3 linked regions of the Astyanax mexicanus genome follow. The main gene of each other region encodes a partner of the protein of the gene in region 2 in a complex. Links are inferred from orthologs where the notes say so. Each region holds a gene or a part of one and is shown on either strand. Other genes may lie near its edges. The genes, in order: LYR motif-containing protein 4, ndufab1a and fdx2.

Region 1 (7,635 bases), on a different chromosome or scaffold from region 2:
GGGGGGGGGGTATATATATTAAAAAACGAAGAAAAAAAAACAAAAACAAAGTCCACCTAAGTTGTTATACACTCAGGCAAAGAAATATGAAATGTGTGCCTCAAATCTCTCTGAAGATGGGTTAATCTAGTAGCTAAAGTTATCTAGATAAAAAGCTAATTTCTATATTTGCTCCGTCCAGTCGCTCAATCATCATTCTCATCTAAACAGTTTACTATAAGTAGAGTTTCAGACAGACAGATTGGAGTGTGTTCTGTAAGCTTGCTGGTTTAACATTTACTGTATGTGTTCAATTGGTCTGTAAACAAACTAAACTTTGTATTTTATTTTTTATTTTTTTTTCAGTTTAAAAAGAATCCAAAATTGGATGGTATTGTGGCCAAGTAAACACAGGACTTGGGCAGTTTAAGCAAATCCCTGTTGCTAGTATATAAAAATGAATCTGCCCACCCCCCAGCAGTAAGTCTATTTTTTGGTAAGTCTAAAAAAAAAAACTGGACCAAGCCACCACAATGTATTTTACAGCAGAACCTTTAAATCCGTTGTGGGGTGTGACCTTCATGGATGCAATGACCCTGTTGCCATATCACCACAGCATAATAAAAAATAAACATGTACAGACTGAATATAAGGACACTAATAAAGCTGTTACAATCTAATGCAGCTATATGCTATAGTTTTGTAACTGCTTTACTGAAACAGGTGTGTCCCCCTTTCCCACTTTTGGGAAAAACAAAACACAGCAGCCCATCTCTCACTGTAAGAAAGAGAGGCCACCTGATGAACTTCATGAACTGTTATTTTAATCTGGTCTGCATACAGCCCTCAGACTGTCAATGATACAATGGTACAAAATAAAGCTGTAAGAGTGAAATGCAGCCTAAATACAGGCACAGCTCTTAATCTAGCCCTACACATCGAATCACCTAAAACCAGTAGTACAGGGAAGAATTTATTTAATTAAACACCAGCAAAATAACAATACTAAACACACCTCAAAACCCACAATAAAAGCATGACCCAGGCATTTATTAATAGATGTGGTACCGTCTTTTGAAAATGGAATCCAGTTGGCTTCGAATTCTAACTCTGTTTCACCCTAAACAGTTACATTAAGTGCGGTCAAGGTTATATTATCTTAACATGTGATTAACTTGGAAACATTAAAGTGTTTTTTTAACACAAATATATATATATATATATATATATTTTTTAAACAACTTTGGCCTCAACTTTAACTACTAAATGGGTCAGGGTCTGGGCTGTTAAGGCCCCCTGGCTAATGATCTGCTACTGTATGTGACCTCTGACTGATTCTTTATACGTTTAATTGTTTTCTTATAGATTTTAAAATTGCCCAACAAGAGTTGAAGATTTCTAAATGTACCAATAAATCACAGTGCTCATTAGAAAAACATAGAAAACATGTTTTAATCCTATTTACTGGAGTTTTCCCTTAACAAAAAGGGGATAAACTACAGTGAGTTCTGCTACTTATACGAGTACAGCTATTTTTAATACTACTGTTTCTTCTACTACTGCCAGTACAACTATTACTACTACTGCTAATAATACAAATATGTTTGCTACTTCTACTACTATTGCTAGTACTACTGCTACTACTTCTAATAGTACTACTGTTACTACTGCTAAAATACTGCTAATAATACAAATACTGCTGCTACTTATACTATTATTGCTAGTAATGGTAATACTACTGTCACTACTGCTAATAATACTGCTACTACTGCTAGTACTTCTAATAGTACTACTGTTACTTCTACTACCACTACTACTACTACTACTACTACTACTACTACTACAACAAATACTGCTTATAATACAAATATTGCTGCTACTTCTATTATTGCTAGTACTAATGCTAGTTCTACTGTCACTGCTGCTAATAATACTGCTACTACTGCTAGTACTTCTAATAGTACTACTGTTACTTATACTACTACTACTACTACTACTACTACAGCAAACACTTTTTTAAAATACAAATACTGCTGCTACTTCTACTATTATTGCTAGTACTAATGATAGTTCTACTGTTACTACTGCTAATAATACGGCTACACATACTGCTACCATTCTGTTAGTACTTCTATTACTAATATGAATACGACTGCTAATAATACTGCTACTACTTCTGCTAATACCACTACTGTATGGCTAATAATACTGCTAATACTACTGCTCCTACGTATGCTAGTACAACTGCTAGTGGTACAGTTTTTACCACTGCTAATGCTAATAATACTGATACTTATACTGCTAAACCTTCTTCTACTACTGCTAAACGTGTTATTTTAGTACACCAGTAAATAGAAATGGCCTTATGTTATGGTAAGGTGACGTTTTACCATTTATTACACAATCCTTAGTAGTTTTTGTTTGCATGGGTCCCCCAGAGCTAGGCTAGGCTTCTTCCTAAAGCTTGCCAGTTTGTTTTTTCCCTGTGCATATGTTTGTTTTTACAAACCAAAGCTGGTTTACAAAAAAAAAAAAACGGGCTGTAAAGAATTTATACAAATAAATGAACTTTCTCAATAGTTCTTTTTTTCCTGAAGGACTTTAAAGGAGTCTAGCTAATGAGCTTACACAATATACTTCTGACTGATTCGTGTACACTTATATGGGCTTTAAAGTTTCACAACAAGAGCTGGAGATTTCTAAAGGTACAAAGTAACCGAGAAATAAATAATAAACACAGAAAACACGTTTTAAAGCAAATTATTGGAGATTTATTTAACAGAAAGGGGATAACTACAGTGAGTTGTGTTGTCAGTGAAAAGAACCCAGACTCCCAACAGCTCTACAGTCTACACACCCACCTCACACAGCCCCCGCGCGCAGGGCAGGTGTGTGTGGTGGGGTATTAAGGGGGTAAATTGTGTAAATACCTGTAGTTATAGGAGGGGAAAGCCCTGCTCTCCTTCAGCAGACTCCGGTACAGAGACAGCACCTGCGCTCTACTGGACGCCGCCATCTTTCCCACAAAGGCGACTAAAACACTGCCTGAACAGAAAACCCGCCTTTATCGCCTCTCGCGCTCCGACTGCGGAGCAAATAAACAGTTTTATAGTTTAAACAGGCTGTAGAAATAAAGCGAATTCAGATATTAATCAGTGTACAGCGCTGAGCGCGGGGCGGGTGTGTATATTGATCAGGCTCGCGCGCAGGTGAGGCGTGTTTCTGACAGGCGGCGGGTCTGAGAGAGGTGAGTGGGACAGTCTGAGGGCTGCATGTTTATTAACTTAATACTGTTATTATTTATATTATTCACCTCCTCCTTCTTCTCTAAACTCACAGCTCATTTATACTGCGCGTTCAGAGCACAGCCCGGGTTCAGCTCCGTTCTCTGTGTGTTTATAGCTGTGTTTACTGTGTTTACTGTTTACAGACTGACTGATAAACTCCACTACTGTCACTGAGATATTATATATATATATATATATATATAGTTAGAGAGAGAGAGAGAGAGAGAGAGGGAAAGTGGGAGAGAGAGAGTGAGAGAGAGAGGGAGAAAGAAAGAGAGAGAGAGAGACAGAAAGATGCACACATAGAGAGAATGTGTGTGAGTAAGAGAGAGAGAGAGAGAGAAAGAGACACTTTTGACTTTTGGCACGCTTTATTTTACTATTAAAAATTTACATTACACAAAAAAAAAATAAAAAAGGGTCAAACTAAAATAAGTGGCTTTTCTATTTTTCTGTGTGCACAAGACCAAATAATCTTCATTAAAAAACTAAATCAATTTTCAATCTAATCTTTATCAGAGTTTTAAGCATGTCTCCAGCATCCTGAGAGCCACCCTCCTTCAATTTGTTCTTCCTAGACAGTCACACAGCAAGCTTAGCCTGGCCAGTATCTCTCTTTGTGAAGAGAGAGAGAAAGGGACACAGAGAGAAAGTGTGTGAGTGAGAGACAGAGTCTGAGCAAAAGAGAGACAGTTACTGAGAGCGAGAGACTGTGTGTGGGAGAGAGAGACTGCGAGAGAGAATGTGTGTGAAGGAGAGACAGAGTCTGACTGTGAGAGAGCGAGAGACTGTGTAGGAGCTGGAAAGACAGAGGTAGAGAGACTGAGCACGAGATTGACAGAGAGACTGAGAGAGAGACTGAGAGAGAGAGACAGATAGAGAGACTGAGAGTGTGTGTGTGAGAGAGACAGATAAAGAACCTGAGAAAGTGTGTGTGAGAGAGAGACACAGGGAGACTGAGATAGTGTGAGAGAGAGAGAGAGAGAGAGAGAGCATGAACATGTCGGCACGTGTTGAAGGAGTTTGTGAATGTGACTGTTTAGTGAATGTTTTCACTTCAGCATTATTAAAAAGCATTTTGCATTCAGCATTATTGAAATATATTGACATTGAAAGTATGTAAACATATGAATATTACCAGTTAAAAGTAGGATACACCTTAAATATGCTGTTTGTTTTTTCATTATTTAAAAAGTTGTATAAAACAATATCCTTTGTAGATTAATACTAAAATCATACGACTAGGGTTGCAACGGTATGAGATTTTCACGGTATGATAACCGTCTCAGAAAATACCGCGGTATCACGGTTATCACGGTATCACAGTTTGTTACATATATTATTAAACTGACCCTTAAAGAAATTACAACAAAGGTTTTTTGTTCAATTAACTATTTATTGTAGAAACCTGGAACAATTATAATTTTAATGTCTCCTTAAAAAAAAATAAGCTGTATACCATCAGGTGAAGGAAAAATTTTTTTTCCACTACTCTTAAGGGCATTAAGAGTGTATATAAAAAAAATATATATAAATATATATAATATATATACACACATACACACACGTTACACACATTACATGTCCTCTAAGAAGTAAAGATCCTGTGTTTAAACTATTCAGTACAATTATTTAAGTTTAAATTATTTAATATCTGATAAACTGAGCCTGGGTCAGTGTCTGATCAACAACTGTTGTAAACGTCCGTTTTACTGCCAAGTTGGTATATAACCAGATACTGCAGAAAGAGGGGATTTATTTCTGACATGATCCTCACAATAGAGATTTCTATTTTAAGGCTTTCACACCGAGTCTGGTTTTAACATTTGAAAAACAGGCACGTCAGAATTTGAAAATGAACGCATGTAAATGAATGGCGTCTTTCACATCCAGTCCGGCCAGGACCTTTACACGGACACGTGAATCCATCGTAGCACGCACTTCACGCCTGTACCTGCGTGCCCAAATTTCGGATAACTCAGCGCTTTTGCGGGCGCTTACTGCATGGGTTGTGCACGACTACAAAGAGGTTTTATTTAGGTTCAGATTAAAATTATAAGCTAAACACATACTTTGCGCTGCACAGCGGGGTGGTGTTCTCGGAGATGGGAGAACAGGTTTGACGTATGTCCACCTTTAGCTGTGACTTTACGGCCACATTGATTACAAATCGGATAACCATCCTGCGTTCGGCGGGTATCCGAAATAGTCCCACACTGCTGATTTTAGTTTAGCCTTTTTTTAGGCGGACGGAGATTTGTTTAGTCTGATGCACTTTCTGTTGTTCTCACCGCTGTGTGCTGAGCAGCTGAAGCGGAGCAGAGTTGCGCATGCGCGGGTGAGTTTCTCCGCTGGCTTGCGTTTTACCGGTAATAAGCAAACACACACGGTATGATAACCGTGCATTTTAATACCATGGTATACCGTGAAACCGGTTACCGCTGCAACCCTACATACGACCTATGGAGAAAAACACATGGATTTAAGTATTAAACAAACCAGAATATGTTTTATATTTTAGATTCTTCTAAGTAGCACGTCTTGGGTAGATGACAGCTTTGCATATCTTGGCTGAATTTTTTCAGTCAGCTTTATGAGGTAGAGTCACTTGGAATGGCTTTCAGTTAACAGCTGTACCTCGTCAGGAGTTAATTACTTAAATTTCTTGCCTCTTAATGTGTTTGACTGAAATCTGTTGTTCTTTGTTGAATACTGATGTGAAATAACTGGCTTACAGCTTGTTAATCTGCTGTGATTTGTGTTTTTGTAGCCTGTGTGTATGGACATTAGCAATAAACTCGGTTCTGAGCACAGTGTTTAGTGGTGCTGGGCAGTAATGTCTATTAATGGGGCCTTAAAAATGTCCACTAGGGCTGGACCCGAATATTCGGGTATTCGGATATTCGTTCGTTGAGTAGGTATTCGGTTTTTAATTTTGGTATTCGGATATTCGTTTTTTTTCTCCTTTCCAGAGTTCCACCTCACTCTAACCACTTCTGTTCTCGCGGGTCCCGTCAGAATATCTTGCGCGCGGGACAGAACTGAACTGTTATTGGCTGGAGCGGGAGTTTAATCCAGACGATGCGGGAGCAAATTAATAAATAGTTAAGAAAACTGTAATAATTGTAAAAAAAAAAAAAAAACCTAAAGAAAACTCTCAACGCGCAGGATGGACCGACACACACACGCACACACCGATGGTGTTTGGACTGGGGTAAGGAACGGGACCGCACTATTCAGCGCTGCTGTTTTAATAAATATATAAGTAAATTTGAAGCATTAAATGTAGTTTATTTAATTTATATTAGGAACGTGGGGCGGGAGCGGCAGAAATGTGTATGTGGCGGGCGGGCGCGGGATTAAAAGAAGCAATTTTTTTGCGGAGTGGTAACGAGACAGAAACGCGGGAGCATGGAAGAGTGGGTTTAAAAATCAGTCTCGCGCAGACCTCTATTATACATGATAAAAAAAAAATGCAGGCTCTTCGAAACTGATTTATATAATAAAACGTAAGGGGTAATGTGGCAACAGTAGGGGCTAAATCGGTTACAAAAGCCTGGCCTACAAAAATGATGTCTGAACGAATTTCCTCTTATCTAATATAATTTAAAATGGTTTAAAAATATAAAATAATTTCTAAGCAAACAAAATATTTAATATTGAGCTTATAGCCCAAGTGCAAAAATACAAAATCAGTAATACGGCTATGCCCTGCACAATCCTTAAACAGAAATAGACCAAGTACAATAACGTCATTAACAATGACTTTCCTCTACTCTAATATAATTTAACATGGTTTAAAAATATAAAATAATTTCTAAACAAACGAAATATTTAATATTGAGCTTATAGCCCAAGTGCAAAAATACAAAATCAGTAATATGCCCTGCACAATCCTTTAACCGAAATAGACCAAGTACAGTTTACAATGACTGTCCTCTAATATAATTAACAATGTTTAAGAATATAAAATACTTCCTGAACAAACGTTTTTTTTGTTTGTTTTTTTTAAGCAAATAACCTAAGTGTGAAAACACAAACAGCAATTTACTGGGCTGGCTTGCGCAGCGGAGAAACCGTGCAGCAGCAGCCTCCTAGCCTGCTTACGCAGCGGATAAGCCGCGTGTGGGGCAGCAGAAATTCCGGGATGAAAACACCAAGAAATCTGGGCTAAAAACACAGAAAAAATATGGGGTGAAAACACAAAAATCCGGGATAAAAACACCAAAAATCCGGGGTGAATATGTCTCGTTGGTCAGAGCAAATTGAACATTTTTCAGTGGATTAAAGGGGCCGTGATTTGCTTTTTTTAATTTTTTTTTTTACCTCTTTTTTTAAAAACGAATATTCGAATATTCGCGAATCAGTG
Region 2 (7,923 bases):
ATCAACATTTACATTTTGTCCTCTCTACACATCAGAGGGAAATCAACCATTACATATATCCCTAGGCTATACATTAAATAAGAAAACTGCCTGACAAAACTCTCTAACAGCTTACTAACAATTTCCTGGAATAACATGAACATGCCAAATGTCATGGGACAGTAAAAGCAAAATAATACACTGATCTTCAGGATATGCATGAGTTGCTTGATTGTTTGCATAGAAATTCTAACCACCAGTGACAAACATTACCACTCACTGTACTGTCCACTGAGAGCGGTAATGTCAGACCAGACACGGTGAGTAGAGGAATGTTAAATGCCTGCACAACTTCAGAAAAAGTCCAATTCATTTGGCACCGAATATCAGGCCTTGCTTGTAAACATTCATGTTGCCATGTCATGAGCAGTTCACAAATGTTATGCATTATGTCCCTTGAGATAACAGTTCATGATTAATTTACGCACTGCTATCCCATGACTTTTGGTTTGTCAGCATATATTCTAGGGATGTTCTCCTGCAGAAACTAAAACTGAATACGTTTTTATTATTTTTGACAGTTTTTACCACTGCTCAAGTAAATTAGCCTATAAATATTTTTATGATTTTAAACATCATTGCTCGGTCTTTATTTTTATTTTTTTTTTATATATATTATATATATTTTTTTATTTTTGCCACTTTTGCCTAGTAAATTCATGCTCTGCAGGTTACGGACACAAATTTAAATAGCAATCTTAAAAAAAAAAAAAAAAACACACACAAGATAATATTTATGCATTTAAATATAGCTAAATCAATTATTAACATACATTTAAAATATGAATATTACACTGTAAAGACACTAAAACAAGCACATTAGTATTAAGAACTACATTAATTTGCAGTAGAGTTATGTACAGGGTGTCCTAGAGCTCCACCCACAATTATTTCTTATTATAGTATAGTATTTTGGCCTCCCATCCACACGAAAATGCACATTTTAAAAACGCTCTGCAAAGTGGAAATATTTTAAAGAACCAAAATGTTCGCTCCCTATTACAGAAATAGTGCACTAAATAGTGTGTCAGCCACTTTGTAATGCTGTTTAAAATCTAAATACTACTAAATCCATATAATGCAGCACTCACTGCAATCACCAGTGTATAACAATGCAGCGCAGTGGTGGTGTACCAGACCACCTCACAGCGGCACAAATAAAGAGTGTGTTTGGTTGTTCACTTATCACTTCAGTATATAATAAATGCTACATAGTAGACTCAAGTACCTCCCTTAACCCCTACATAATGTAATATAGCTAATACAATTTAATTTAATACATTGTAGTCATACAATAAAGCAATGCACAAAAAATTGAAAATTGAATTTAACTTTAGAACTACCCTCTATCTGAGGTCAATTTGGCCCTATTTGATGTTTAACATTTGCTAGGGAATATTTTTGTGTAGGATCGACACAATTCCAAAAATACCAGAAATTATTGCAAAAAAAAAACAAAATTCTGGGATTCCCATTTGAAGACCATTAAAATACACTGACAATGATAATAGCATAACAAACCAATAATACCCTTTTAAAAATAACTAAATCTGAATTAATCCTAGATTGGGACCTCACCTACCCACAGTTACTGAAGTACTGGTCATTACATGACTGCCTAAAATACTGTTCAATGCTTTATATGTGTGTGTGTGAACAAAAAGACAATAATGTACAGGTGAATTTCCATGTTCCAGTGTTTTCTGCCTAGTTAACTTTACCAAATAATAAAAAAAACAGTTTTGAAGTGTATAAAAACGTTGCAATGGAGAATACTGAGCTCAGTATAAAAAGCTAATATTTTTTGATACTTAATATAAAAACGTCATTCTGCTTTAAGCCTCAACACCACTATATGGGGCTCCAACTATGATAAGGAATTTACAAATCCTGTTCATGCAGCTTGCCATCAGCTACCGGAGCCCTGAGAGAGCACAATTGGCCTTGCATTCTCTGTGTGATGTCAATTAGCACACCCTCCTGGTGTTGGGGCATCACTAGTGATAGGGGGAGTCCTAATGAGTGGGTTGGGTATTTGGCTTTATAAATTGGGGGAAAGATTGGGGGACAAAAAATTTAAATAAAATTAGATTTAAAAAACACCACTATCCCTACAGTACTGAGAGAAACAGTGATACTACAACATATACACAATTAATTCCTGAAAAAAGCTCGACAACGTTTTTAATAATATAACGTAAATTTTCTGAAGGTTTAAAAAGCCGCAGTCAAACTGAACACGAAGATTGAGGGTGTTAACTTACTAACTAAACAAACCAGCGTTAACTATAAATAATAAAAGATAACAGAAACAACTAAAGGATTAAGTAAATCTTCTGCACATTATTAACCAAATACTTCAAAAAAAAAAAACTTTATATAATAGTATGTATACATTTTACCGTAACTGAGAGTAGATATGATTATCAGGTATTATTTACTACTTTAATATTTAATACAATATTATTTAAAATACCTTTTTACTCTGTAAAAAAGCGTAAACGTGCAGTTTAGTTAGCTTTATAACGACGTTACTGAAGTTAAGGTTAGTTAACCTCAGATTAGCCGGCGCTGCTAATTAAACTAGCCAGCGTTAGTTCGCTATAGATATAACGTTTAAATATCACTATCAGTCATGCGGATCTGACTACGGATTAAATCAGATTAATCCGGTTTAACCAGGTAACTCTCTGTAACCCCGGGTTTGACTTTGACCGTGTCTCGGCGCAGCGCGGCACGGCGGGGCTGCAGTCAGTCAGGAGCTCGGGTAGGTCATTGGCTGTGACCGCGCGGAGCGACAGGACCCACCTGAGTCAGCCGGGCCGGGCGCCCGAAGGCCGGGACAGAGAGGCAACGGCTCAGGCCGAGAGGAGCCGAGGCGACAGCGGCCCCGCAGCCCCGGTTCAGAGACACCAGGCTGGGGTTCAGTGATCGGACACACCGGGCAAGGATGCGCGCCGCCATGTTACTCCTGTGCTCACTGATCCACACACACACAGTATTCCCACAATGCAGCGGCCTCTTCCTCTCCCCCTCCTCCTCCTCCTCTAATAGCGGCGCTCCCCGCGCTGCTGCCCCCTACAGGCTCCTACCCTACCGCGGACCGGGGGAGAACAGCGGCTGTCTGCAGAGAGAGACCATCCATAAAATAAAGTTTCTCTGATTTTGCTATTTATAGGTATATGTTTCAGTAAAATGAATATTGTTGTTTTATTCTATAAACTACAGACATTTCTCCCAAATTCTAAATAAAAATATTGTCATTTACAGAAAATGAGAGAAAAGATCCAGAGCTTTAAGACCTCAAATAATGCAAAGAAAACAAGTTCGTATTCATAAAGTTGTAAGAGTTCAGAAATCAATATTTGGTGGAATACCAAGAAAAGAGGAGGAGAGGAGCAGTAGGATAGGTGGATGAAAAGGAAAGGAGGATGAGGATGAAGAGGAGGGTTAGGAAAGGCAGAGGAGAGGAGAAGTAGGAAAGAAGAAGTAGAAAAGGAGGAGTAGGTAAGGAGGAGGAGAGGAGCAGTAAGATAGGAGGAGGAGAAGAAAAGAAGGAGAGGAGGGTCAGGAAAGGAGGAGGAGAAAACGGTCAGTGTAACTTTTAGCAGTTTAATTTTCTGACTGTATCAAGCTAATTTCGAAATAAATAAGAAATGGGGTTTAATCCAATTCTTAATTTCAGCCTATCGCAAACAGAATTGGAAGAAAAATGAAAAGTTGAATCTTCATGCAAAAAATGCAACAAAAAAAAATCCTAAAATTACGATTGTGAGAGGCAGAGAGGAAAAAATTGGAAAAAGAACGAAAGTCTGCACTACATTAAAAGTTTTTAAATCCAATTTCCTATTTTTGCATTTAGCATCAAATGGTCAGAAAATGTAATTATTAACGTTACAGCCAATAAACATTCCAATTTTTTTAGCACTTAAAATGTTTTGTCTCTGTACTACAAACGTTAAAATTGAAAATAGTAAGAATACCTTTAAGTTGTGCTCATTAATGAAGGTATGTTTTGAATGTTGATCTCTTGTATGTCCATTTATATTTATTTTTATTTTGGTAATGTATTTTTTTGTTTGTTTGTTTGTTAGTTTTTTATTATTTAATTTTTTGTCAGTTTTTTTCACCCAGTAGTGATACAGCTGCTTATTATGCTTTAAAATACTGTAATAATGTTTGTGGTTCTGTAAGTCTTTTCATATGTCTAAATAAAATAAATTCTGGACGCAGCCATGCTTCGCAGCAGAATCGCGTGGTCCTACTGCGCATGCGCTGCCATTGGCCTGAATCTGCTGGCCTACATCCGCGGCTCCGCGCTTCTGCAGACGGGTGTTATTGGGGGGCAGATCCGCAGTACGGCACTCTCAGCTCCGCACGGTCAGATCCGCACGGTTAGAGACTCGGATCTGCTGCAGTTAATATGGAGAGCCGCGGATGGGTGAGTGTTTATTGGTGTATAACATTAATATCTGAGCGGAAGCAGCTCCGAGCGGAAAATTATAACAACAACTACAATGATAACTAACTTAATAATTACAATATTCGAGAAACTGAAGCTGTGAAAGTGAAGGGATCGATGGTTAGTTAGCTTGAAGTTTCCCTTCCATTCGTTTTTAGGTTAAATAATAAAAGTTAAAATACTAACGTTAGCTAATTCATTTTACACTTTTGGAAACGTCCTTAACATATAACGATAGCATTATAATAAATGTTCTTAAAACGTCACGTTTTCATTTTTTAAAAGTATTGTTTTAAATTCATTGTGCTTAAAAGAGAAAAAATATTCCTTATTAATGAACTAAAATGCGCAAACTTTCCTTGATAAACAATCTTCAAAATGTCCTGTCAGTTTTTTAAATTAGGGCTTTTATTTTGAAGATAGACACACTTCCGCCCACCGTTATGTCAAAGAATTTGCGGATCGCTAGAGGAAGCCCGCGAGTCAGTCAAAATCATAGACTGTGGAGCTAACTAATGGTGTATATATTTTTTATTTAAAATAAGCTTACCTATGTATTTTATTATATATTAAGTGAAGAGACTTTAGGCAGTAAAGAATCTGCATTAATCCTACTGTGAGCTACATGACTGCAGTTACAGTCAGAGCACTGGGTTTGAGTTTAAAAGGTTTATAACGGTTACAAATATATCTGTACTGTGTCGAAAAATGGTAACGTTATATTGTTCTGTGTTGAGGTAATTAGTCATTTCTTTAATATTTAAATTTAAAACATTTATATTACCGTATTTTTCGCACTACAAGGCGCACTTAAAATCCTTTAATTTCTCCCAAAATCGTCAGTGCGCCTTATATTCTGGTGCACCTTATGTATAAATTTACCAGTCAGGTTGTAAGGAGCAGTAAAGCCACTCCACTAAAGTTATACAGAAGTTTCAGTTTAGTTCTCCAGCACTGAGGCTGGAGCAGTATTAGCAATAGCCATCTAGCTACTAGCTCTAGCTCTTTTGCCTTTCAGAGGTGAATATTATTGGCCTGTAGGCTGCTGCTAACCCTGGCTAGCACTGCTGGAGCAGCATTAGCTGCTAATCGCGCTAAGTGCTAGCTCTTTCGCTGTTCATAGGCATGTATATCGGACTAGCTAATATCGCCCTGGGTTACCAGAACACTCAGGGTTCCTCAGTGTAGTGCTGTCAAGCAGCATTTATTAGTGCTAACCATGGCTAGCACTTGCGGTTAGCTGCTAAAGCCAATGCTGCTGCATATGAGAGAAATCTGTGTAGATTAACATGCAGCACTCGTTTGCATCTTAATCAGTCTTACTTAGAATTTTCACCTTATTTTAGGTAATTTGAACTCAAACTAAACACAAAAAGTCACCAATCAAGTTATTCTAAAATTTGAGTAGAAATTTAAGCTAGAAAATAAATCATTTTTGCTTGATTTGAGTCTTATTTCACTCATTTTGAGGCTTTGTCATTGCTTATTTTAGAAATACTTTATAAGAAAAGTTTGGTTACCCCATTGGCAATTTCTTTTTTTGCTTAATTTAAGCATTTATGTCTCAATTTAAATAAATTGTATCTAGTTTTTGCAATTTTTTGCAGTGTACTCAATTGTGTCATATGTATTTTCCTCTCTATTAGAGATTCTCCAGTATAACCCCTAACCCCAGCCAGCCTAAATCTCCCTTTAAGAAAATGTAAAAAAAAATCATAAAGTTTTTTATAAAGTCCTGTGGATACATTTTGCTTTAATTTCCTTAATCATTCTTAACATTGCACTGAGCACAGAAATTAACTAATCCCAACAATCCTTTTGTATTTAGTTATAATTGTTTACATTTAAACAAATATTTAAAAACAGAGACTTCCTGCTCTCCTTTTTATAAACAATATACAACTTCACAAAAAAAAAACATCAGCACTTTTTAATTATTACCTCATTACATAAACAAAATCCATCTACATCACCTTTTATTCATTTTACAGATTCATCCATCGGTTCGGAAAAAAGGGCAACAACCAGAGCCTCAAAGATGCATCAGAGTGCGCGGCACAAATCTGTTTCAGTGCCCGTTCTGCAGTCTCTCCAAGTTCAAAGCAGCAAAGCCGTACAAGGTGCAGCTCCATCTGGCCTGGCACGCCCGGGGAGCGGTTGAATATGGAGGTATTTTTTTTATATTGTATTTTTGCTTTATAGAAAAATGTTTTGTATATAAATGTTTAAATGACTACACAAGTTTCAACAGAAAATAATACTAATTGTTAAAGCACACATTAATTTCTTGTTTAAAAGACGACTGTAGAAAACATGAACATTAAAGTTCCATTCTGTTCTGTGTCTCTTCTATAATAATAAGCTAAATTTTCCACCATCAAATTTGCAAATAGACTAAGCACAGTAGAGACCAGATGTGGAGCCAGAGCTGCCTACTCCCAGACCAAGTGTCTCAGTCCACCTTCATTGAGTTTACAGCACAGTTAAAGTAGTGTGCATCAGCCACATCCACTTTAAAGTATCATTCTGTAAGTTTTTGCTGATTTAGAGACCTCTCTGGTGAGAGTGCACACAGCAGATTTATGTAGGTTCATGTTAATTAATTGTTGTGTGTGTGAAAATCTGTCTTTTGAAGCAGTGGGCTTAGTAAAAGTGCATTTCATGTATTTTATTATAAAACAATTTACGTTTCCATCAAATCACAGTACCAGAGCATAGCGTAGTTTACTCTGTTTGACTGCAATGAACCACAGCTACCATAGTCCAGTTTAACTATTAAACTGGACTAATTATTAAGAATGACAAAATCTTGTTGTAAACGGCATTTGCTCTCAGTCTAGGCCAGCAAATAAATTTGGCATGAGAGTCACATTTAACAACTCATTGGATCACAACAGACAGTATGAGGTGTAGAATATATATATATATATATATATATATATATATATATATATATATATATACATATATATGTCATTGTGCGAGTTCAAATCTCCTAGGCTGCTCCAACCCTTTCTTGATGTTCCTTCTTGTTTTTTGCTCTATTAAATTATCTATGTGCATTATTCTTTAATGTTCATGTTGGATTTTTATGTTTATACATTTCTGAAATCAGTTTATCTAATATTACTTAACTGTTTGCAGTAACATACATATGTCCTGTTTTCTTTCCTCAGGCTACACCATGTACCGATGTGGGTTTGAATGTAGACCAAAATTACATTTCCACTGTCCAGGCTGCACAACCACTATAATTCGTAAAGAGGATTTCTTCAGACATTTTGGAATATGCAAACATTCTCGTTTCTTCAACACCACATCAAACAACAGTACACCCTCATCGACACCCCCTGCTGCAATCTCTACATCTACCTTGACACCTCCTGTCACAGACCCTCCAGCCACTGATGCACCTCCTGCCA
Region 3 (7,075 bases), on a different chromosome or scaffold from region 2:
TCAGGGTCTGGTAGTTTATCAAAATACTCCTCATGTACATAAACATGACACGTAGAGCAGGCCAAGGATGCCTCACAGGCCCCTGAAAACAAAGCAAATTAACAAGTTAATAATCCTGATTAGTTAATAATAATACTAATTACACAACACCAAATGCTGCACACAAAGTAGGTAATACTTTCAGTAGGGACAGATATGGACAATAACATTAAAAGGTCTTCTATGCTTTACTGGCTGCCACTAAGAGCAGGATCCTACAATACAGCATGTCTGATGGTATGTTAATATACTAAGGTTACACAATATTATGGTTTGGAATAGAGTATGAATAATTATGAATAGTTCACATGCAAAACTGATCACAGATCAATTACGTATGTTAAAAATGTTCTGATTCTCGGATGCCAGGGTCCTACAGAAACATTGACTCACATCACTATACTTTTGGCAAAAACAGGTGTAATTTACAACAAAACAGGAAAAAAAAAACACACTTTGTAAAATCTGTGAAACAGTTGGCAAGTTATGTCTAGGATTTCTCAGGACCCTTAAACATTAAGTGTATTGTCTTTGGAAGGTTCAATGCAATTCTATTCCCGAGCACACATATGTTATTATGTAACAATCTCCAGTTTAAGACCGGTATAAACAAGAACTTACCTTCAAGTTCAATGCCTTGTCTTTGCGCAAGATACAAGACATTGTCTCCAACTTTACCCTTTACCGGAATCTTCTGTCCAGACCGATCAATGAACACCACGTTAACACTACAACAAGAGACGTGGGGTAGAAAAGAACATAGGTAAGTAAATAATACAAAAAAAAAACAAAATAAGTAAATACAAATATTTGTTCAAAATAAATGAATAAATGCTGAATAAACATTAAATATTACATGTCATGGGAATTTTGATGCATGCGAATAGTTATTTGTTTGGGGAGCACATCAAAGTGTCAAAAACCTTGCATCTCCATTTTTGCAGTTTTTCACTTAGGGAAAATATTTAAACTGTGTCACTACTGCATGCTAATTTAACCAATAAAAAACGCTTTCAATGGAATAAAATCATTTTACACTTATATGTTTAAAGTCCAGAGTTCTACCATCCCTCTAATATTTCCATTTTTGGATAAACACAAGGTTTTCGCTCCTCAGCAACCATAGATCTGGTGGACATGTACATAGGAAACCTAATATAAAGTTAAAGGGAGGGTAACATAAGTAACATACACATCCTCATCGGTGTCCTCCACGTTCGAGCTGCCCTCCTCACTCTGACGTAGATCTGAAATAATAAACCACAGTGAACAGTTTAGTGAGAACCTCTGCAATGAGTCTAACAAAGACACTCATCTGCTTAACTGCACTGGACTGGACTTTTCCTGCTCTCTTAGCAAAGCTCTTGTAATGAGATTTCCCTGACAGTCCAAAACAAGTTTAACTTGACCAACTAAAGACCAAGCTGCTGAGTAATGCCTGCAAGTACAGCCTGTTACAAGTAGTAACCAAAACCAAAAATATTCCTTAAAAAAAAAAAAAAAAAAAAACTAAATGGGAAGTAGCAAAGTACAAATACTCCTTTAACTTACTTAAGTCGATTTTTTTGTTTAGAATTTGTCTTCACTGGAGTAATTATATTTCAGACGATTTTAAAATGTTTGAGTAAAATTAACATTGTTGCTTTATTCTATAAACTACGCACATCATTTCTCCAAAATTCCAAATAATTTTTTTTTGACATTTATAAAATATATTTGTAGAAATTGAGAAATGGCTGAAATAATAAAAAAGACCTCAAATAATGCAAAGAAAACAAGCTCATATTTAATAAGTTTTAAGAGTTCAGAAATCAATATTTGGTGGAATAACCCTGTCTTTGTTTTTTTTTTTTTTTTTTGCATCTTGGCATGTTCTTCTCCACCAGTATTACACACTGCTTTTGGATAACTTTATGCCACTTCTGGTGCAAAAATTCAAGCAGTTCAGCTTGGTTTGATGGCTTGTGATCATCCATCTTCCTCTTGAATATATCCCAGAGGTTTTCAAATTGATAAAATTAAAGAAACTCATATTTTTAAATGGTCTCATTTTTTTCAGTGCTGTATTTGCATTGTATTAGAATACACTCATTTTCAATTAGCATATACACATCTGAAACAGGGAGCCTAGTGCATCCAATTTTTTTCTTGAGTAAAAAGCTTGAGTTGATACTTCAACTTCTACGGAAGTATTTACACCTTAGTATCCTTTTCTACCTGAGTAATAAATGTAAATACTTTTGAAACCTTTGTAAAAACAACGTCATTAATGAGGAGTTTTTCCTCAATACTCGCGTGGCTGGAGGTACAGCCTCCACTTTTCTGACAGAACTTTGCTGTGAGGATCTGATGGCATTCAGGTACTGAATTTGAATGAACTCTAACTCATTCCAAGAGTAACGTTAGAGGATGGAGCTTTATCAGACCAGAGAATGCAGTTCCAATGCTCCACAACTCCTCTAGGTCCCTCTACCAAGCCTGGAATTCAGCACAATGACTTTAGACTTATGTGAGTCTAATCATCAAGATTATTCAAGCTGTCTGAAGGGTAATGAAGCGTTTGGATACTTTTGAATTAGGAATTTAGACGTAAATAACAGCCATCAAACTCAACCTGTAACATATTTCTGAAACTCAGTAACACCAGACAGTAATTGAAGGTGCTAAACTAGAATAAACACAAATAAAAACGATAATAATTCAGTATCAGCGTGTTAGTTAGAGCTCAGTTCAGACACCCTAAGTTCTCTGATGTTATAAAACCCGCGGTTTGACTTTGGGAGCTCGGATACACTCACTAATGGAGGTCTGCAGCTTTCTGTTGGGGGCTGAGTAGAGCTCCATGGCTCGTCTCCCTCTGGTGGGACCCAGCACGGCTCCGCTGCACATGTTGAGGCGGTAAAACGGACAGACGCTGCAGTCCGGGGCCACTTTACCGAGCCGCACACTCAGAGCACGGACCGCAGCGGCGGCCGCCATGACACTGCTGTCGTCACATGGTCCGCAGTAGCCAATCAGAAAAGAAGACGGAGGAGTGACGTAGCTCTCGTCGGTGTGCAGGTTTATTAAACACAAGTTCAGCTCTGTTTTTATTTTAAGGTCATTATTAATATTTGGTATTAATTTATTATTTTTATTTTATTCTAAATTCACTGTCATTTTTGGTCAGAATGACTATTAAGACATTACATTGCATTACATTACATTGCATTTGGCAGACGCTTTTGTCCAAAGCGACTTACAATAATGAAGTACAAAAGTAATAGGAATTAAGATAAACCATTTTAGATAGGGCTCAAAGGAGGTCGAAGGGAAATAAAGGGATAGAGAAGTGAAGGAGGGGAAGAAGGAAATGGGGTTAGAATTATTATGATTATTTTCTTTTTTTTAATTTTATATATTAAGTTTTTTTTTTTTTAGGTAAAACGTTAAATGAGAAAGATTAAGGATAAAATATCAAGTAACAGAAGTTTAGAACAAACTGGTAGACCACTGAAAACTTGTTGAGGGAGAAAAAGAGGAATAAAATGATCTCCACTATTGCTACAGATCTGTAATTAATGATTGATGAGTTTAATAAAGATAAGATCTCCTATTTAACTAAGTTTCAGTGTTGGTGGGTCCTTAACCACCCTACAATGGTCGTTGTGTAATTTGGCCGCATGAGGGCGCTATAGGACAAATGATACGCATGTAAAGGGTTACTCAAGGTAAACTGCTAAGAGAAATGTGTCAAAGTCATGACCAGAAGATGAGTATTTTTCCTCTTTTTACACACAGTATTGTAAATAACACGACAGATGTGATGATATACAGCATCCCAATCACTGCCATGTAGTTACCAGCCATAATAGAACCCTCTTTACCTGCTCATCTGCCTAAATAACACACAGGTCAGCTGGTAAACTCTCGGATGCAAATAACATTTGCACATAGGCTTTCTAATCTGGCTAGCCATCTCCTGTGCACCCTATAGTAGAGCATTGTGTCTGCATGCTGGCTTCCTGAAAGAGATCACAACAAGTTCTTTTGTCTTTACACAACCAACTTAAACAAAGCCTTCCTCTGGCCTTTATGTCGCAATACTAAAGCTAACACTTTAACACTTAACTTTAACCTTAACGGAGCTCATAGAATGTCAAACAGTATTTATTTTGACATATTTGAATACTAAACATTTGGGAAATGAAAGCTCAAACAATGTTACATAGCAGTCTTGAATCATTATATTTACACCCCCAATATTTACGTAAACCCAACATACTACAGAAAACTCTACTCAAAGCAGTAGAGTACTCAAAACAGTAAAATGAGATGAAAACTTTGCCAGTACATAATGTTGTTGATACTGGAGAGAAGCCTATCACCTCCAGAATTGGTTCGCCAAGACGTGAAAGCCAATGTGGAGCTAAGCTAAAAGCTAATACTAGCTAATGCCATCCTTTACCATATCTTCTCTTCATTGTCCACTCACCTGAAAAAAAAAAAAAACTACAGTTAAACAAACACTGGTGTGACTGGTTAGCATGCTGGCTATTCTACCTAGCAAGCAATATATCATTATTTTATTGTATTGTGATAGAACCTCTTATAAGCATATCGAGGCACTGGAGGCTCTAGTGGTGGGGCCACAAGGGCATTGGCCCCAGCTGAAATCTGATTGCCCCCCTGAAAAGCCTCTGTCCAAAATACACAAAAATTTAAAAACAAATAAAGAAAAGACTGGCAAAATCCAAACTGAAATCATTTTCCAATAAAATTTAAAAATATATGTTTGATATATGTTACATGTTTAGAATTTGCAACATTGTTTCTTCATGTGATAATATTTTTAACCAGATCATGCAGCTCTAGCAGTGTGTAATTATGTAAACCAAGGGTGGTGGCTTTCATGCTGGTCATATCAATATTTGAATCATTTGTATCATATCGACCGAAATTAAGAAATATATTGTGATATAGATTTTTGCAATATCATCCAGCCCTAAAGCTACCTATTGCTTTATTTTTCTCAATTTTTCTGTCTTCTTCAGAACCACATTGCTGAGTATGTACAGTAGAAATCAAACGTTCAGAAAGCAGAAGGCTGGCCAATCGGTTTAGAATGTCGCTTCACCTCGTCATCATTTATTTATATAAAGGTAAGAAAATCTCTATATGTCACAGCTACAAGTCATGTCCTCCCATAAAAACGACCGGTTTCTCTGTTGGTAAAAGCATTAAATAGGTTTGTTGAACATTTTTCAACTTAAACAAAGTCAAATACATTATTATTTATATATATATATATATATATATATATATATATATATATATATATATATATATATATATATATATATATATATATATATATATATATATATTTGCCACATTTACAATAGAATGCTTAAAAAATATTTTCTGGATTAAAATAGGCCTAAATGCACAGGTCTTCTACTTTATTTAATAACTATTGTGTTAATATTTACCATTTAGGCTAATATATATTATGTGTGATTTGACTGTCATCACAAAAATATGCTGAGCTTCTCATTCTGTGCCATAGGCGAACAAGTGTAATCAAGTGGAAATCATGCAGTGACACATCTGTTATCAACCACCACTTTCCTTTTCCAGTTCTGTACATCAGTCATACAATATTATTCTCAGAAGAGCTTCACACATTCTGACTTCCAAAAAAATTTCCAAAAAGTGACATAATAATTTGACTTTTTGATCGAATTTCAAATCCCATGTTTTGCTAACTACTTCTAAAGTATATCACAATTATTCTATTTATTTATTGAATAAAAAAACATGTAGAAAATATGAAAAGTAGAAAGTCTTGTAAAAAGCCTTATTTAATTTGTTCACTCCAGTGAGTTAAAGAAACTAAGTAAAAAATAAAAAAACTTTATTATATACAAATTCAGTCTTATGTAAAGTATATATAAACATGTTCCTGTAAGTTACTGTAAAATGATTTTTAAGCTAAAAGCCATTTTCAGACATTTCTAGCTTCTATATTCACCATGAACTTTTACAAAATATAAAAAATAACTGCTGTGTTATATATTATAATAATACACATAAATAAAAATGGGCATATATATGATAAGATCTTTAAAATATTTGAAAGCATAAACTAAACATATAACAAAAACAACTGAATTCATAAAAAGAACTAATAGTTGAAAGTAATATAGTAATGTGTTTCTAATCTTTAAATCAGGCAGAAAAATAAACACTGAAATATGGGCATGCATGATAATTCAATTCAATTTTATTTATATAGCATTTGAATAACATGATTAAATAGCATCATTACAGTAATTTAAAAGCATAAATGTATATGTACATATACTGCAATTTAAAACAACTTAATTCAAAATTAGAACTACTAGTGGGAAGTAATGTGATACGTAATGTGTTTCTAATTATCTTTGGAAAACACCTGTAGTTTATTTTAGTAGGTCTGTTTAGTTCATGTTTCCACTCTGGTATTTTGATAAGATCACACTTGAGAACGACAATCCAGCCGGAACAGAAAGCCACATGTGTAATGTGTCTGAAGTGTGAAGTGATGTGTGATGTGCAGTGGTATCATTTGTGGAATTGTTGTGAAAATGCACAAACCAAAGTGGGTTTAGAACATTTTGAGTTTTTTAACAAAGTCCTTGTAGTATCTTGGTTTATATCTTTGATGATCTGGTTTCAGTGGCACCTGTGAAGGAATAAGACAACAAGTGAAGAAACAGTCACTGTTTTGAAGTTGATGTGCTGGAAGCAGAACAAATAGGCCAGTATAAGAATCAGAGACATTTGGCTTATATATACCTGTACATTTACATTTATTCTGTTTATTGTTTTCTGTCTGTGCACCTTGTGTTTTGTCTTTTGCCTTTGCCCCCATATTATTTTATCATATGTTTTTATCAATATGTTATAAATATTTAATTGTGCTTTTTATAACTGATTAACTGTTTAATTTAAATCATTTCATTGTTTATTTTTTTATTTTTTATTCTGCCCAAAAAAAGAGTAAAATCAGATC

Evidence for each region.
Region 1: the proteins of ndufab1a (region 2) and LYR motif-containing protein 4 are in contact, whole or in part, in a crystal structure (PDB 6ODD), measured with the Homo sapiens proteins. The link is inferred for Astyanax mexicanus from reciprocal best matches to the Homo sapiens genes NDUFAB1 and LYRM4. Residues at the interface, in NP_004994.1 of Homo sapiens: Lys92, Asp111, Ser112, Leu113, Asp114, Val116, Glu117, Met120, Glu123, Asp124, Glu129, Ile130, Asp132; in NP_065141.3 of Homo sapiens: Arg6, Leu10, Ser11, Tyr13, Arg14, Leu17, Arg18, Lys21, Arg37, Phe40, Arg41, Lys44.
Region 3: ndufab1a (region 2) and fdx2 share a complex: the UniProt entries of both Homo sapiens proteins name them as parts of the mitochondrial core iron-sulfur cluster (ISC) complex. The link is inferred for Astyanax mexicanus from reciprocal best matches to the Homo sapiens genes NDUFAB1 and FDX2.

What each region holds. Positions count from the first base shown.
Region 1 is NC_064413.1:47,014,577-47,022,211, reverse strand, and holds the start of LYR motif-containing protein 4, read right to left. Parts: upstream 3,107-7,635; 5' UTR 2,996-3,106; coding exon 2,910-2,995; intron 1-2,909.
Region 2 is NC_064428.1:16,158,788-16,166,710, reverse strand, and holds the start of ndufab1a (NADH:ubiquinone oxidoreductase subunit AB1a), read right to left. Parts: upstream 3,088-7,923; 5' UTR 3,004-3,087; coding exon 2,848-3,003; intron 1-2,847. Other genes in the region: protein tonB2, read left to right, coding at 5,017-5,019, 6,493-6,670, 7,678-7,923. UniProt on the Homo sapiens protein: Carrier of the growing fatty acid chain in fatty acid biosynthesis.
Region 3 is NC_064412.1:31,745,106-31,752,180, forward strand, and holds the start of fdx2 (ferredoxin-2, mitochondrial), read right to left. Parts: upstream 3,047-7,075; 5' UTR 3,019-3,046; coding exon 2,838-3,018; intron 1,287-2,837; coding exon 1,232-1,286; intron 768-1,231; coding exon 661-767; intron 83-660; coding exon 1-82. UniProt on the Homo sapiens protein: Electron donor, of the core iron-sulfur cluster (ISC) assembly complex, that acts to reduce the persulfide into sulfide during [2Fe-2S] clusters assembly on the scaffolding protein ISCU.